Callithrix jacchus: one gene and its partners. The protein of the gene in region 2 purifies or fractionates together with the protein of the main gene of each other region. This does not show direct contact. Links are inferred from orthologs where the notes say so. Each region holds a gene or a part of one and is shown on either strand. Other genes may lie near its edges. The genes, in order: USP46, PHLPP2, USP1 and USP12.

Evidence for each region.
Region 1: the proteins of PHLPP2 (region 2) and USP46 purify together in Homo sapiens (affinity purification with mass spectrometry; 4 studies listed by BioGRID and IntAct, counting the BioPlex papers as one, with this or other methods). This does not show direct contact. The link is inferred for Callithrix jacchus from reciprocal best matches to the Homo sapiens genes PHLPP2 and USP46.
Region 3: the proteins of PHLPP2 (region 2) and USP1 purify together in Homo sapiens (affinity purification with mass spectrometry; 3 studies listed by BioGRID and IntAct, with this or other methods). This does not show direct contact. The link is inferred for Callithrix jacchus from reciprocal best matches to the Homo sapiens genes PHLPP2 and USP1.
Region 4: the proteins of PHLPP2 (region 2) and USP12 purify together in Homo sapiens (affinity purification with mass spectrometry; 3 studies listed by BioGRID and IntAct, with this or other methods). This does not show direct contact. The link is inferred for Callithrix jacchus from reciprocal best matches to the Homo sapiens genes PHLPP2 and USP12.

What each region holds. Positions count from the first base shown.
Region 1 is NC_133504.1:143,992,241-143,995,807, reverse strand, and holds part of USP46 (ubiquitin carboxyl-terminal hydrolase 46), read right to left. Parts: intron 3,081-3,567; coding exon 2,867-3,080; intron 1,187-2,866; coding exon 957-1,186; intron 1-956. UniProt on the Homo sapiens protein: Deubiquitinating enzyme that plays a role in behavior, possibly by regulating GABA action. May act by mediating the deubiquitination of GAD1/GAD67.
Region 2 is NC_133521.1:30,249,451-30,253,017, reverse strand, and holds part of PHLPP2 (PH domain leucine-rich repeat-containing protein phosphatase 2), read right to left. Parts: intron 2,625-3,567; coding exon 2,514-2,624; intron 1,686-2,513; coding exon 1,491-1,685; intron 1-1,490. UniProt on the Homo sapiens protein: Protein phosphatase involved in regulation of Akt and PKC signaling.
Region 3 is NC_133508.1:99,537,355-99,540,921, forward strand, and holds part of USP1 (ubiquitin carboxyl-terminal hydrolase 1), read left to right. Parts: intron 1-240; coding exon 241-401; intron 402-1,873; coding exon 1,874-2,559; intron 2,560-3,567. UniProt on the Homo sapiens protein: Negative regulator of DNA damage repair which specifically deubiquitinates monoubiquitinated FANCD2. Also involved in PCNA-mediated translesion synthesis (TLS) by deubiquitinating monoubiquitinated PCNA.
Region 4 is NC_133506.1:146,334,739-146,338,878, forward strand, and holds the start of USP12 (ubiquitin carboxyl-terminal hydrolase 12), read right to left. Parts: upstream 2,859-4,140; 5' UTR 2,632-2,858; coding exon 2,584-2,631; intron 1-2,583. UniProt on the Homo sapiens protein: Deubiquitinating enzyme that plays various roles in the regulation of the immune response and inflammation.

The DNA of each region.
Region 1 (3,567 bases), on a different chromosome or scaffold from region 2:
AGAAAAATGCACAATCCTATAGAATTTTTCATACAATGTCAAGAAACTCTGAGATCCCCAATGAACCCAGACTTTCTCTGTTGTCAGCAGTAGTTATAATAAATAATAGTAGCTGGCATTTACTGCCTACTTGCCAGGTGCCAAGCATGGCTCTAGGTGTCAACTCATTTAATCCTACCACCAACCCTCCAAGATGGGCACTCCCATCATCCTCATTTTATTGATGAGGAAAGTGAGGAGAGAGAAAATTAATAATTTGCTCAAGATCCACTAGCTATTAAGTGGAAAAGCCAGCATACAAACTTGGGCAGCCTGGCTCCAGGGCTCAGCTCTTAAGCAGCAAAATATGAGGCCACCCACAGGGTTGAAGTTAAACATGCCAAGCAAATATGACATCCTGAATCATGCTTTGGAGAACATGTCTTCAAATTCAATTAACATTAAGTGCCTACCACGTGCCAGACCCATCCAAACACATAAGCTCATTCAACCCTCAAGAGTGCTGTAAGTAACTTGCCCCAAATACCCAGTTAACTGCTACAGAAACAGGAGTGTAGCCTGTCTTCTGACTTCAACATACCACAGCTAACTGCCTCTGAACTGAGGTGATGGTCCCATTCTACACCACACATGACCTCCCTATGACCAAATTGCAAGATAACTGGTTGACATACAGTTCAATAGGTAAATCTGCAGACCCCAAAATTTGCCCATGGTGCAAAACAATTCAGCATATGAGGAGATTTTCCTTCATTACTCAGCTTCAGCCTGCTGAGACATCTTGGATGGATATATGCTTCCAAAAGTTTGCCCTTGAGTTTCACATGCACAAACAGGATCATTTACATACACTGCAAATAACTGCTAAATGCTCTAATACCACATTGCAATCACATGCAACACAGCCTACCTGAATATGAACATGTGAGTTACATGAGAGCTCCCCTAGCACTTACAGTTTCACAGTTCAAGCATCGAGTTTCATTGGTGAGTGTTCCCTGAAAAATCTCATGGACCCAGGTGAGTTCTGGTTTGTTATTTTCCGCAGGTTCGTTCATGTTGCCATTTTTTAATTTTCCGTTTTGTTTTTCCTGTTTCTTCTCCTCCTGCAGGATGTCCGCAATAGTGTTTAGCAAATAATTTAAAAATTCATGAGCATCCTGCTGCATGTAGTTATCAAAGAGATCTGGAAAGGAGAAGGTAGTTATTTCAGTCTTTGGTTCTTAAAAAGCAAATGGATCTACTCAAATGTTACATGCCAGACTTCAATTTTTTTTCTTTTTGAGACGGAGTCTGGCGACAGAGTCTCACACTGCACTGTCGCCAGGCTGCAGTGCAGTGGTGTGATCTTGGCTCACTGCAACCTCTGCCTCCCGGGTTCAAGGGATTCTCCTGCCTCAGCCTCTTGAGTAGCTGGGATTACAGGCACACACCACCACCTACAGCTAATTTTTGTATTTTTAGTAGAGACGGGGTTTCACAATGTTGGCCAGAATGGGCTCCATCTCTTGACCTCAGGATCCACCCACTTCAGCCTTTCAAAGTGCTGGGATTATAGGCTTGAGCCACCGTGCCCAGCCCATACTTCAATTTTTATACTGAAAGGCATGGAATATAAATATACTCTACCAGGCAGCTTCAATGAGTAAGCTTCCAAATAATTTTTAAATGTATTTCCATTTTCTGCCACCCATCAAGAACAAATTTGCCATATCTCCCTGGAGTCATCACATTTATATAAAACTACCAAGTTTTATTTGTTCTACAAAAGAACAGAAGTTACCAGACAAGTTCCCTGATAAAATACCAATTTTTAATATGATGTATTCACCAATGATCAATTAATTATTCATTGAGTAATTTATTCAGAGCAACTGGGGTCTCTTTTCAAAGACCATATTAAACCCTGGACCAGCCTGGAAGCAGCTTAGATGAAACACAGATGGGAGATGAGGGATATGTGTGAGCAGGCATCTATCTGATAATGTTCTGAAACTGAATACGAATGATTCCAGAAGCCTACTGCTGCTCCCTGCCATAAGGACAAACAATCAAGAGATGAATGCAGCTGTGAACCTTCATTATTAATCATGTTCACAACTAGACAGAGTGCTCTGCTTCCTTCTCCACTCAAATTAATTTTTATTCTGATATGTATAAACTGTAACTTCAAAAGACAGCAATCAAGTTAAACAACACTTTATAAAACAAATACCTGATTAACCAGGCACATCTGATGGAGTAAGGGTGGATATAAGTAAATAGTAATTGCCGTAACAAATACTTTTATAGTCATAAAAATTGCTCATACAAAACTTCTGGAATACACACCTAGTTTCTCCCAACAATCCCCTAAAAGCTAAGATAGAAAAACGAGGAAAATCCGGACTTTGAAAAATCACATAAAGCAATCAATTTGATATCCTTCAATTACCTTAGGCAAATGAAAATCAGGCATTATATTTAAAACAGCAGAAGCTCTGATTAGATAATAGGCACTTATTTTAATCACTTATGATAAGCTTTTAAGCCAGTACTATTTTATTCAATTATCACAATGAGTATCCCACTCGGAAGGCTGCCTTGGACACTCTTTTCTCTTACAATGATCCTGCCCAGAATGGAGCAAATAAAAAGTCATTCTAAACTGGGATGATAATTGTGCATGTTTAAGCGTGTTTCTAATCCAGTTTTGTTTTATGTCTACTGGGTAGAGAAGAATGTTGTTTCTTAAAAAATAACACTGAGTAATTGACCATGCTTATTTTCCCTTTTCAAAAAAATCCCAGCTTGTGCTTTTGAGGAGTAGAACCGTCAATTCTCTTTATTTCAGAGCCTTAAACGCATTATAATGCATACTACTCACCATTCTCTTTTCTCAGCCTTGAAATGAACTTCTTTGGTGGGATGACGCCAACCTTCTTCTTCTGCGTGGCAATGCTGTGGAAAAGGTCCGCCAGGCACGTCAGCAAGTTTTCCTTCTTCTTTTGCTGGGCCTTGTATGCCAAGACATTCTCCCGGAACGGCCGGCAGAAGTACAACGCCTGAAGCACGGAGTTACAGTAGCATGTGTTTCCAAACTGCCAAGGGACAAAAGGGATGGTTCAAGTCATCGCCTGGGGATGAGCCACCTCTGGAATAAGTAGTGAGGGTGAGCAGGTCCCTGCTCTAGGAACTGGCCCAGCTGTCCCTGTATTGAGTCCAGCTCACCATATTAGAAAACTAGTTAACTACTCTAAACACTAGTGGCCATCTGATCAAGAGAGAAGTGAAGAAAAATGCACATCATTCTGGTGCTTCTCTAGCCCATCAAAGTCTCTAAAATGATAATAAGCACTCTGTCTCAATAAAGAGTCTAATGAGACCTGCTGGTGCTTAAAAAAAGAGAAAGAAAAAAAAATCTACATAATGTGGAGACCCAGGAAAACAGCTGGCTAAATAAAAGATGCACATTGCAACACACCAAAACTCCCACGACAGGGAAAATAAAAATATGAATCAAAGAGAAATCCAGTAATTAGGAACCACTTGCTTGGCTGAAACAGCCAAAGCTGAACGGGGGCTGGT
Region 2 (3,567 bases):
AGAGGCTGGTTCAATAAACTGCATTCCAAGAAATTTCTGGTGATGCTGAGGCTGCTGGTCCTACAACAACACTTTGAGAACCATTCACTTAGGCTATAAGTTCCTTGAGGGAAGGCCCACGAGTCTTAAATTTTCCCCTGCATGCAGGGCATCCATGTGCCTGTACTTGGAAACAATCCTAAGAAACTGGCAGAAAGACCTAGTTTCAATCCCAGCTCTGCCACTTCCTGGCTACAGACCCTCAGCAAGTGATTTCTCCTAGAAATTTCTCTGATAAAACATATAGTATGAAAAATACTTACTACAGCTCCTGGCTCAAGAGTTGTTTCATAAATTGAGTTCCCTTCCCTAAACCCTTTATTTTATGAAGTCTCTAGCTCAATTCTACTACTGAAAAAAACTCCTTCCTAACGCTTTGCTTTGTGTTATGACAGATAAAACTAGTTCAAGATCCAGGCTGTTCCATTTCAACCTGAACTATACAACTTAACAACCTCTCAGTTATTCATACCCTTTATCAGTCCACCTGATATGCAAATGCTCCATTACAGTTAGGTTATATAGATATCCTCAACTTACAATGGTTCAACTTAAGGTTTTTTGACTTCACAATGATGAAAAGCAATACTGCAGGCATTTAGTAGAAACTGTACTTTGAATTTTGATCTTTTCCTGGGCTAGTGACATGTGGTATGATCTTCTCTCATGATGCTGGGCAGAGGTAGCGAGCCACAGCTACCAGCCAGCCACTTGATCACAAGGCTAAACAATTAATACAGTGCCCTGTGCACCAGATGATTTTGCCAAACTATAAGCTAATGGGGTAAGTGTTCTGAGAACATTTAATGTAGGCTAGGTGAAGCCATGATGTTTGGTTGGGTAGGTATATTAAATGAAGTTTCCACTTACCGTATTTTCAACTTACGATGGGTTTATCAAGATGTAACCCTATTGTAAGTTGAGGAGCATCTGCATAGAGTTTTTGCCCTTAAGTGGTTTAGACTTTACTTAGACTAGTTGGGTAAAACCCCAGAAACAGGGATTCTAAGCATATGAATCTGAGGAGTTTTTGGCTAACCTTTTGTAGGTCACTGACTCCTTGGACAATCTTATGAAAGCTGAGCACCTTCCTCCTCAAAATGTACAGCCACATATATATATACACACACAACCTTTTGCATATAAATTCTGGGCTCCCAGATCCTCAGCAGCCTTTGGATTCAACAGAAAAAAACAGATGAAGTCACAGGCTTTTTAAAGAGCCAAAGCCCCACACTCCATTCTGATATAGAGAATGATAATAGAAGACAACAATGTTGAGTTCTCTCCTTGATCCTGTAACCGTAATTTAGACCCTGACCTTCTGGTTTAGAAAGATACATTTTCTTGGAAATGTCTGCTAACCAACATCTGGTAAATAAAAATAAATAAATAAGATATATTTTCTAAAAGTAGAACTGAGTTAGGGATTATTCAACCCACCTGCTTACCTGTGAGATACCAAGAAGGTGTTAACCATGAAAACTGTGTCATTAGTTGACTGCTGCACCTCTTCTAAAAGCACATCTGCCATTGTACACTGGAGCAGGCGTGGGAGCTCCTCATTTCGATCCCCATCAAACATGCCATACACAGCTCCCACCCCTTCTGCAAAGTTATCCATTGCAAGCGCTGAGACACACAGCCTATAACAGAAATATGAGAAACACAATCATCAAAAAAAGTTACTGGTAAAGTATTATTCTTTAGGGACCATTCTTTTAAAAAGTAAGTATTAATTAAAGGTGGAGAGGACCAGTAGCAAATTGTAATCTACACATAAAAAGTCCTTAGACATGATAATTAAGCAACATCTGAAAGAGCTAATGTCCCAAGGAAAGGGGAAACAGCCACATTCACCGGCAGTACATATCAGCTTTGCAATGCTGCGGAAGGCTGGTAAGATAAAACACTTTCTCTTAGTGGCAACTAAGGATTAGTTTTGTCAAGGCTCATCAGCCAAAGATCACCAGAGCACACCTATGGTTGAAAAAGCTGCGTTTATTACTCGTTATAGCAAATGAATATGCACCCCATGGACCCTGGGGTATACAGATAAGGAGTGCTGAAAAGAACCAACTAGAGGGTTTGAACTTTGGCTGGGGAGGGTATAAGGAAGAGGATCACACTAGACTAGGTGTCATCAGAAAGTGGGGCCATTCTATGGCTGGGTATAAATCTTATCTATAGGGAAAGAAAATTAGCAGAAGGATAAAGCTGTAACCAGTAAAGAAAGTAGCATCTACCCATCTTAGCCATGAAAGGGGGTTTTTGGTATTTTGTTGACTATATATTTGTGTTGTTTTTGTCTTAAAACTTTATCATGGTCTCAAAAGGATCTTATCTGACACTGATGTTCTATGACTTTTGTACAACAGAATAACATGGCCTAGCTATTATGAGCATCAGACCAGTTCTCAGATGCCAGGGGCTGCCATTTTTTCTTTCTCAGTCTCCATGGCTAATATACTCACTTATTTCTCTGCCCTGTCATCTCAGCCAGTCCGTGGCTCCAGAAGGTTGATGTAACTGTAGAATCTGTGGTTGGCAAAGGTTTCTGATCAATTTTCAGGGTTGTGATATGGCTGTGGGAGGTGAGGGAAGATTAAACAATATGCTCAACTGTTTTTTACAAAAACTATCCCAACAATTTTTTTTTTTTTTTTTTTGAGACCAAGTCTCCCTCTTGTCACCCAGGCTGGAGTGCAGTTGTATGATCTCTGCTCACTGCAACTTCCACCTCTCAGGTTCAAGCAATTCTCCTGCCTCAGCCTCCCGAGCAGCTGACATTACAGGCATGCGCTACCACACCCAGCTAATTTTTGTATTTCTTTCTTTCTTTTTTTGAGACAAAGTCTCCCTCTGTCGCCTAGGCTAGAATGCAGTAGTGCGATCTCGGCTTACTACAACCTTCACATCCTAGGTTCAAGCGACACACCTGCCTCAGCCTCCTGAGTAGCTGGGATTACAGGTGCCTGCCGCCATGCCCAGCTAACTTTTATATTTTTAGTAGAGGCAGGGTTTCACCATGATGACGAGGCTGGTCTCAAACTCCTGACCTCAAATGATCCACCTGCCTGGGCCTCCCAAAGTGCTGGGATTACAGGGGTGAGCCACCACGCCTGGCTTATTTTGTATTTTTAATAGAGATGGGAGTTGCGCCATGTTGACCAGGCTGGTCTTGAACTCTTAACCGCAAGTGATCACCCACCTTAGCCACCCAAAGTGCTGGGATTACAGGCGTGAGCCACTGCACCTGGCCAACAATAACGTATCTTTTAATAAAATAATCTATGGACAGACTAAAATGCATTTCTAGAGAGATGGATGAAAGTAGTATGCTGAACTACTGGCAAAGGAGGAGGGGAGAGAAAGGAAATGGGTAGAAGGAACAAAGGAGTAGGAGTTTCAATCAAAAACTAAGCACGGCAAAGATTTCTAAGTTTTAGTCAACCATCTATTTCTTTAACTACTTTGATACAATGAAGTCTTGGTACAATGGATGATCTTGTATTGTCTCTTAGATAT
Region 3 (3,567 bases), on a different chromosome or scaffold from region 2:
TGCTTGAGCCCAGGAGGTTGAGGCTGCAGTGAGCCTCGATCAAGCCATTGCACACTCCAGCCTGGGCAACAGAGACTCTGTCTCAAAATAAAAAAAAAATAAGGTTGATTTGTCTATCCCATAAAATTAGTGCTATAATGCAACTTAGAAAAGCTAGTAAAGTGAGACAAAGACAAATGAAGAAGGCACTTAATTTGTTCACAAATAAAATTATTGGTTTGTGTGTTTCTTTCTTGACAGGGAAATTGCAAAGAAGATTCTTTGGCAAGTTATGAATTGATATGCAGTTTACAGTCCTTAATCATTTCGGTTGAACAGCTCCAGGCTAGTTTCCTCTTAAATCCAGAGAAATACACTGATGAACTTGCCACTCAGCCACGGCGACTGCTTAACACACTCAGGTATAGCCTATGATATAATTTTAGGGTTTCAATTTAGCTACTTGTTTATATCCTTGGAGGAGAATGATATGTGAACAAACAGAAATAAAGGGCAAGGAAAGTAAGAAACTCTAGGTCCACAGTCCTTTATATCCCAGAGGCTCTGAATACTGGAATTTTTTTTCATAAATTTGGTGCTAAATTCGTTAGATCTGAATATATTAGGCTTTTTATAGTCATTATTCATATTTATCTCTAATGTGAATATTCATACATCCTTCTATAGAAATAGGATCATGTTTAATTATAGAGTACTACCATATCATGTTGGTGATAAATATTTTACTTATACGTCGTATTATCTTTGAATCTGAAAATGTCTGAATTTCTAAATGCATGGTCCTCAGATTAGGAGTTATAGAACTATATTCAAAATATGTGTAAGAACCGTAAGTTCCAAATAATGTATTTTTGTTAATATGTGATTAGAGGAGAACTATTGGATAACTGGATTAGATTGCTTTTTGTTATTTTCTTAAAAATGAAACTTTATATATATAAAATAGCCTTATTCAAATAAAGTTATACTAATAGGGCAAGTCTTTAAAACAATCACTTAAGCATTTAGTTTAGAAATAGAACTAGGTGCAGTGTATTGCTACACCTTAGTTAAGAGGTATTGTAGGCTGGGCATAGTGGCTCACACCTGTCCCAGCACTTTGGGAGGCTGAAGTGGGTGGGTCATTTGAGGTCAGGAGTTCGAGACCAGTCTGGCCAACATGGTGAAAACCCACCTCTACTAAAAATAGAAAAATTGGCTGGGCATGGTGGTTCACACCTAAAGTCCCAGCTTCTTGGGAGGCTGAGGCAGGAGAATTGTTTGAACCCAGGAGGTGGAAGTTGCGGTGAGCCAGATTGCAACACTACAGTCCAGCCTGGGAGACAGAGCAAGTCTCCTGTCTCCAAAATAAAAAAGTATTATAACATGGTAACCAAGAGTGGGGTTTGACTACTGGCTTTTCATCCTAACTAGTTCTGTGACCTTGGGCAAGTTATTTAACCGCTGTGTGCCTCAGTGGCTATATCTATCTGACAATAGTGGTGGTGTAATAGTCCCTTATAGGGTACTATTGCTATTATGAAGATAATGTATATGTAGGAGATAAAGCATTTTGACTAAGACCTTGTATATGGTAAGCACTGTTAGTTATTAATATGTTTAGAAGAGGATCAAGTATATTAAATACATTATAAAATATATAAATATATTAAATATATTAATATATTTGGAAGAGGTTCAAAGTATTATAATGAAAAACAGATAAAATTTACTCTTTTAGTTTCAGGTAAGAAATTTCAAATTAGTGCTGAATGAGATTTAAAAATTAAATAATTTACAATATTCCTTACATGAATTCATTCCTATGTAGAAATAGTTTTATGTACTATATCTTTAAAACTAGAATAGATGAAATGGAAATTTTTATTTATAGGGAACTCAACCCTATGTATGAAGGATATCTACAGCATGATGCACAGGAAGTATTACAGTGTATTTTGGGAAACATTCAAGAAACATGCCAACTCCTAAAAAAAGAAGAAGTAAAAAATGTGGCAGAATTATCTACTAAGGTAGAAGAAATACCTCATCAGAAAGAGGAAATGAGTGGTATTAACAGCATGGAGATGGACAGTATGAGGCATTCTGAAGACTTTAAAGAAAAACTCCCAAAAGGAAATGGGAAAAGAAAAAGCGACACAGAATTTGGTAGCATGAAGAAAAAAGTTAAAGTATCCAAGGAACACCAGTCATTGGAAGAGAACCAGAGACAAACTAGATCAAAAAGAAAAGCTACAAGTGATACATTAGAGATTCCTCCTAAAGTAATTCCCAAGTATATTTCCGAAAATGAGAGTGCAAGAGCTTCACAAAAGAAATCAAGAGTTAAAATTAATTGGTTAAAGTCTGCAAATAAGCAACCCAGCATTCTTTCTAAATTCTGTAGTCTGGGAAAAATAACAACAAACCAAGGAGCTAAAGGACAATCTAAAGAAAATGAATATGATCCTGAAGAGGACTTGGGGAAGTGTGAAAGTGATAACACAGCTAATGGACTTGAATCTCCAGAAAATACTGTTATACCTGTAAATGTTAATGAAGTTAAACCCATAAACAAAGGTTAGTATAATTCTTAGACTTTGATAGGTAGGAGCATTAACAGCTATAGAATTAGAATTTTCTCTTCTTAGATACATATATAATATAATCTATGCATAAAATTGTTTCAAGAGAAGGAAATTTAACACTGAATGTGAACTATGGTGTTCTAAGTGCTATGCTTAAATTAGTGTGTGTGTGTATATATATATAATGTCATGAAAGTAATTTTAACTTACAGTTTATAAAGTAGGGAAGTTCAGCTGGGCCACGGTAGCTCACACCTGTAATCCCAGCACTTTGGGAGGCTGAGGCAGGTGGATCACCTGAGGTCAGGAGTTCAAGACTAGCCTGGTCAACATGGCGAAACCCCATCTCTACTAAGAATACAAAAATTAGCCAGGCATGGTGCATGCCTGTAGTCCCAGCTACTCAGGAGGCTGAGGCAGGAGAATGAGGCCGAGGTTGCAGTGAGTCAAGATTGTGCCACTGCACGGTAGCCTGGGTGACAGAGCAAGACTCTGTCTCAAAATAAAAAAGTAGGGAAGTTCAGTATATCTTAACGTACATTTAAAAGTACATTTCCCTTTATGCAGTGTTTGATGTAAACTCATGAAGGACATTGTATTCAGTGAAATATTTAAAGTAGAGACGAAGTACAGTCATGTTGCTTAACAACGGGGATATGTCTTGAGAAATGTGCTGTTTCATTGTGCGAATGTCACAGTTTACTTATACAACTAGACGGTAGAGCATACTACACAACTAGCCTATGTGGTATAGACCAGGGGTGTCTAATCTTTTGGCTTCCTTGGGCCACATAGGAAGAAGTGTCTTGGGCCACACACAAAATATACTAATGGTAGCTGATGAGCAAAAAAAAAAAAAAAATCACAAAAAAGTCTCATAGTGTTTTAAGAAAGTTTATGAATTTGTTATGGGCTGCAGGCAAGCTTTGAATGGCCTATTGCTGTTAGGTAACCTGTACATCATATAACTATAGTGAATACTGTAGGCAACTATAGCACA
Region 4 (4,140 bases), on a different chromosome or scaffold from region 2:
TTTAAGTCCAGCCCATCTTCTCTCCACCATTCCACACACACACCCAGTATCATCCCTGCTTCACCCGGCATTCCAGGAGATAGGAAGGACTTTTAACACTTTTATACTGAATGCAGAACTTAGTACTCCAGATCAAACTGTAGAAGTAAATGTAAATGATAGTCTGATAGTTCTTCCCCTTCAAGGCCCTCACAACTGAGTAAGAGTTCAAAGAAAAATATACTACACAGTTTAAATATGATAGGTGCTACTGACATTTCAAAAATGGCATGAAGTTGTATGAGGGGGATGGAGGGTTGGGTTGGAGAGGGGTAGGATTATTCAAGTAAAGCTCCCTGCTTAAGAGGTACACATCCTCGCAATACAAGGATGGGGGGTAGGGCAGAGGAAGCATTCCAAGCCTAGCAAAACGGCACCTACAAAGCTAAAGAGGTATCTTTGTTTTTCAATTTTGTGATTCTCAAGAGGACAGATAGCATTTTCTTTAAAGAATAAGACTGCAAACTACTTTGAGATATTTAGCACTATTTGAGGGTACATTAGAATGTATTCAAATACGAATAAAGACACACCCAATTTTAATAGTACCTTTTGAACAATCTCGTTCGGCCAGGCACTTTCAGTATTTGCCAACAATACACACACCCCACCTGTAATTAATGCATCTGGGTGGAAGCCCTAGAAAGAGCTCCCGATTCTGATCTTGGAGATCAGAATCCCACTTACTAAGTGTGCGACGCTGGCAAATCCCTGTGTCTCACTGTCCTAATGTGATTACAGCACATATTTATTAATATATTAATTTAAATACAGTTTGTGTCCATGAAGAACGTAAACACCATGAAAGCCGGGGCTATCCTGACCACTACAGCATCCCCAGCACTCAGCCCCACCTCTAGCACCTAGTAGCTGCTAAACGTAGATGTACAGTACCTGAGTGAATGAATAAGAGTATCACACCACTCCTGAAATCCCATTCTTTGACAGTGAACTATGATCATTACAATGTGTGTAGATCAGCAATCTGGTATCACTGTAAAAGACCTAATTATCGCATTCTTTTGAAACTGAGTAAGATAATAATTGGCGTATCTGAAAATAATTAGCCCAAACAATTCTTGAAAATCACTTTAAAATAGTCCATTTAATACCAATGCCTTCCTAAAACGTAAACTTTGAGAAAGAACCACCATCCAGTTGGGAAATGGAGTCTTCAATATGATTTCTTAAATATTGTCGATTTTATGTCCAGCTGATTTCAGCCATTTTTTGTACTGTTCCTCAGCATGCAGTAGAGAATCTGCTTTTAAAGCATCTTTCCGATCAGATTCACCACTCCTCAAAGAAAAATATACACAATGGACCATCCTTAGATGGAAAATTGCTTGAGGCTCTCCTATATGAAATCGGTTGCATAAATAGGGCCAGTGAGGCATCAAACACAAGCTTTCAGAAGTCTTTAATAACAACCAATAGGTCCACGTTGCAAAGAACAACTTTTTTCGGTGATGACTCATAAATTATGATCCCTACATATAAGCTCATGAGGCGCTAATGAAACGAATTTGTCTCATCATGTGGAAAACTGTGGTCCTTCTGGCCAAGCACAAAACACCAAGTTTTAAACGCGCCCACGTTTTGCTTAATTCGGGACTTCCAGCGAGGATTAGCGCTTTTCCTTTATAGTCTATTTAAGCGCCCTAAGAAAACAAATATCATCGCATTGGCAGGCGGTCCCCGCACACAGACAGACGTAGCTTCACCACATACAGATGTGTCTGGTGGGCCGAAGTAAACAAATGACAGGAAAGCTAATGCTTTTAAAGATTAACGTGCATTCCCACAGACAAGACTGCCACCTGGACACACGGCTGGAAACGAGAGCTCGTGCCTCTCCGAAGAGAAAAATGGAGAGAATTTCAACAACACTTATTTAAAGTTTCCATCTTTACATACGCCCCTTTCCGCCAGCGCGGGGTCGGGGACTCGGCCCGGCCAGCGGCGCGAGGAAATCTGCACTTGACTTCCGTCCTCTCCCTGGCGGGAAAGAGCGCAGCCCGCCCCGGCAGAGACCCTTCCTTCCTGCCCGCCGACCCCCACCCCGCCCGGGGACACCTCCCTCTCGGCGCGCGGCCAGGAGGAAATGGAGCCCTCGCGGCTCCGCAGCTCCTCGCCCCCTCCTCGGCGACCCTGGCCCAGGGCCGCGCTCGGGCTCCTGCGCGCCCACCCGCTGCCCCGCCACAGGCCAGGCGCGCTTCGGCCCTTGGCCCGGCGCGGACACCAGCAGTTCGGTCGGGGACTCCCGGAGGCCAGTGCCCACCCCTCGCCGCGTCCCGCACCGTGGGCCCCTCACCGCCACCCTCGCGCAGCCCCGGCCCGCCAGGCGGCGCCCCCTCCCCGGACGCCTGGGCCGCTCACCCCCGCGCTCCCCGCCCGAGCGCCGTCCGACCGCCCCCACCCGGGCCGCCCGCACGCCCGCCCCCGCGCTAGGCCCCGCGAGCGGCCACAGGGAGAAACGGGTCCAGCGCCGTCCGCCCGCCCGAGAGGTCCCGGCTGCCCCTGCCGCCCGCCCGCTGCACCTACCATGGTACAGATGGAGGCGAATTTGGAGACTGTCATTAGGATTTCCATCCGCCCAGCGCCATCTTCCACCCAATCACAGCGGCGGCGGCGGGCGGGGGATGAGGGGAGCCGGGCCGCCCGCTCGCACTGCAGCCCGCGGGCGGACCCCGAGCCGCAGCGGACCCACGCACCGAGCCCGCTGGGCCGCCGCTGCCGTCGTCGCCGCCGGCGCTCAGGCACTCCCGGCCTCGGGCCCCAGCCCCCCGCCTGCCGGCCGCCGGCCCGCCCCCGGCTCCGCCCCGGCGCAGGGCGCAGCCGCTGCCTCCGGGCCCGCGCCTGCCCGCGAAGCCGCCCGCCGCCCACCCCGCCCAGCGCGCAGGGGAGCGGACTCCGCTGAGGCCCTAATGCCCGGCCTGCCAGGCAGCAGCGCGGCCCGGCGGCGCAGCCCCGCCCACCCCTCGGCGCCCCCCTCGGCGGCCCGGGAGCGCGAGCCAAGGAACTCCTGCCCGGCCCCACCCCGCGCGAGGCCGAGGGCGGGACCGAGGGCGGGCACTGTCTTTTGCCTGCGTCCCTGCGGTCCTAGTGCCGGGCGCCCGAGCCCCCTCGTAGGAAGAGGGGCGGCGAGGAGTCGCGGGGGCGGCTGCGGCGACCTGGGAGAACCCGGGAGGGGCCAGACTGCGACACCCACCGCGGGCGAGGCTATAGTGATCTCCCGCTGCCTAAACAGAAAACGGAGGCGATGATCTGGGTAACTTCGTGCGGAGTGGGAGGAAACATGCTCTGCACAGTTAAGATAACCCAGGTATGCGTCCCAAGAACTTGGTTTCTTTTTCCGTGTATTGGATGAATTCCTGGAGTCAAACACAACTTAGAAAAAGACAAAATAATCAAATAAAAATGAAGCGGCAAAGAACAAATTACACGTTTAACTCTTTGAATTAAGAAGAAAGATAAGTAATGGGGGAAGTGGGGAGAGCAACGAATCCTGTCGGCCTGTTGCCCATAAATTTAGAATAGGTTTCTAAATATCTGCACATTGTGCTACAGAATAGAGAAGATCTCAAGCCAGCAGTGATGATGATATTACCAGAAACAAGAAGCCCGCAAGCAAGAAAAATGCCCTGTGAGAAATCCTCAGGCAGTGCTGGCTACTGGCATGGGTAGTTCCTCTTTTCTCCTCTTATAAAATTCATCATTGCACCCAGTTCATCGTGTCTGGCAGCTCAGCTTTATTTTTTCCTATTTGAGAAAGTAGTTCAAGTGAGTGGAATAGCTTCATAAATTATGATGTTAAAAAGCTCTTTTTTTTTGAGACACAGTCTCTGTCGCCCAGGCTGGAGTGCAATGGCGTGTTCCTGGCTCACCGCAACCCCTGCCTCCCAGGTTCAAGCGTTTCTCCTGCCTTACCCTCCCCAGTAGCTGGGGTTACAGGCGTGTGGCACCACGTCGGGCTAATTTTTGTATTTTTTTAGTAGAGACGGGGTTTCACCATGTTGGTCAGGCTGGTCATGAACTCCTGACCTCGTGATCCGCCCGCTTCGGCCTCCCAAAGTGCTGGGATTACAGGCTTGAGCCACC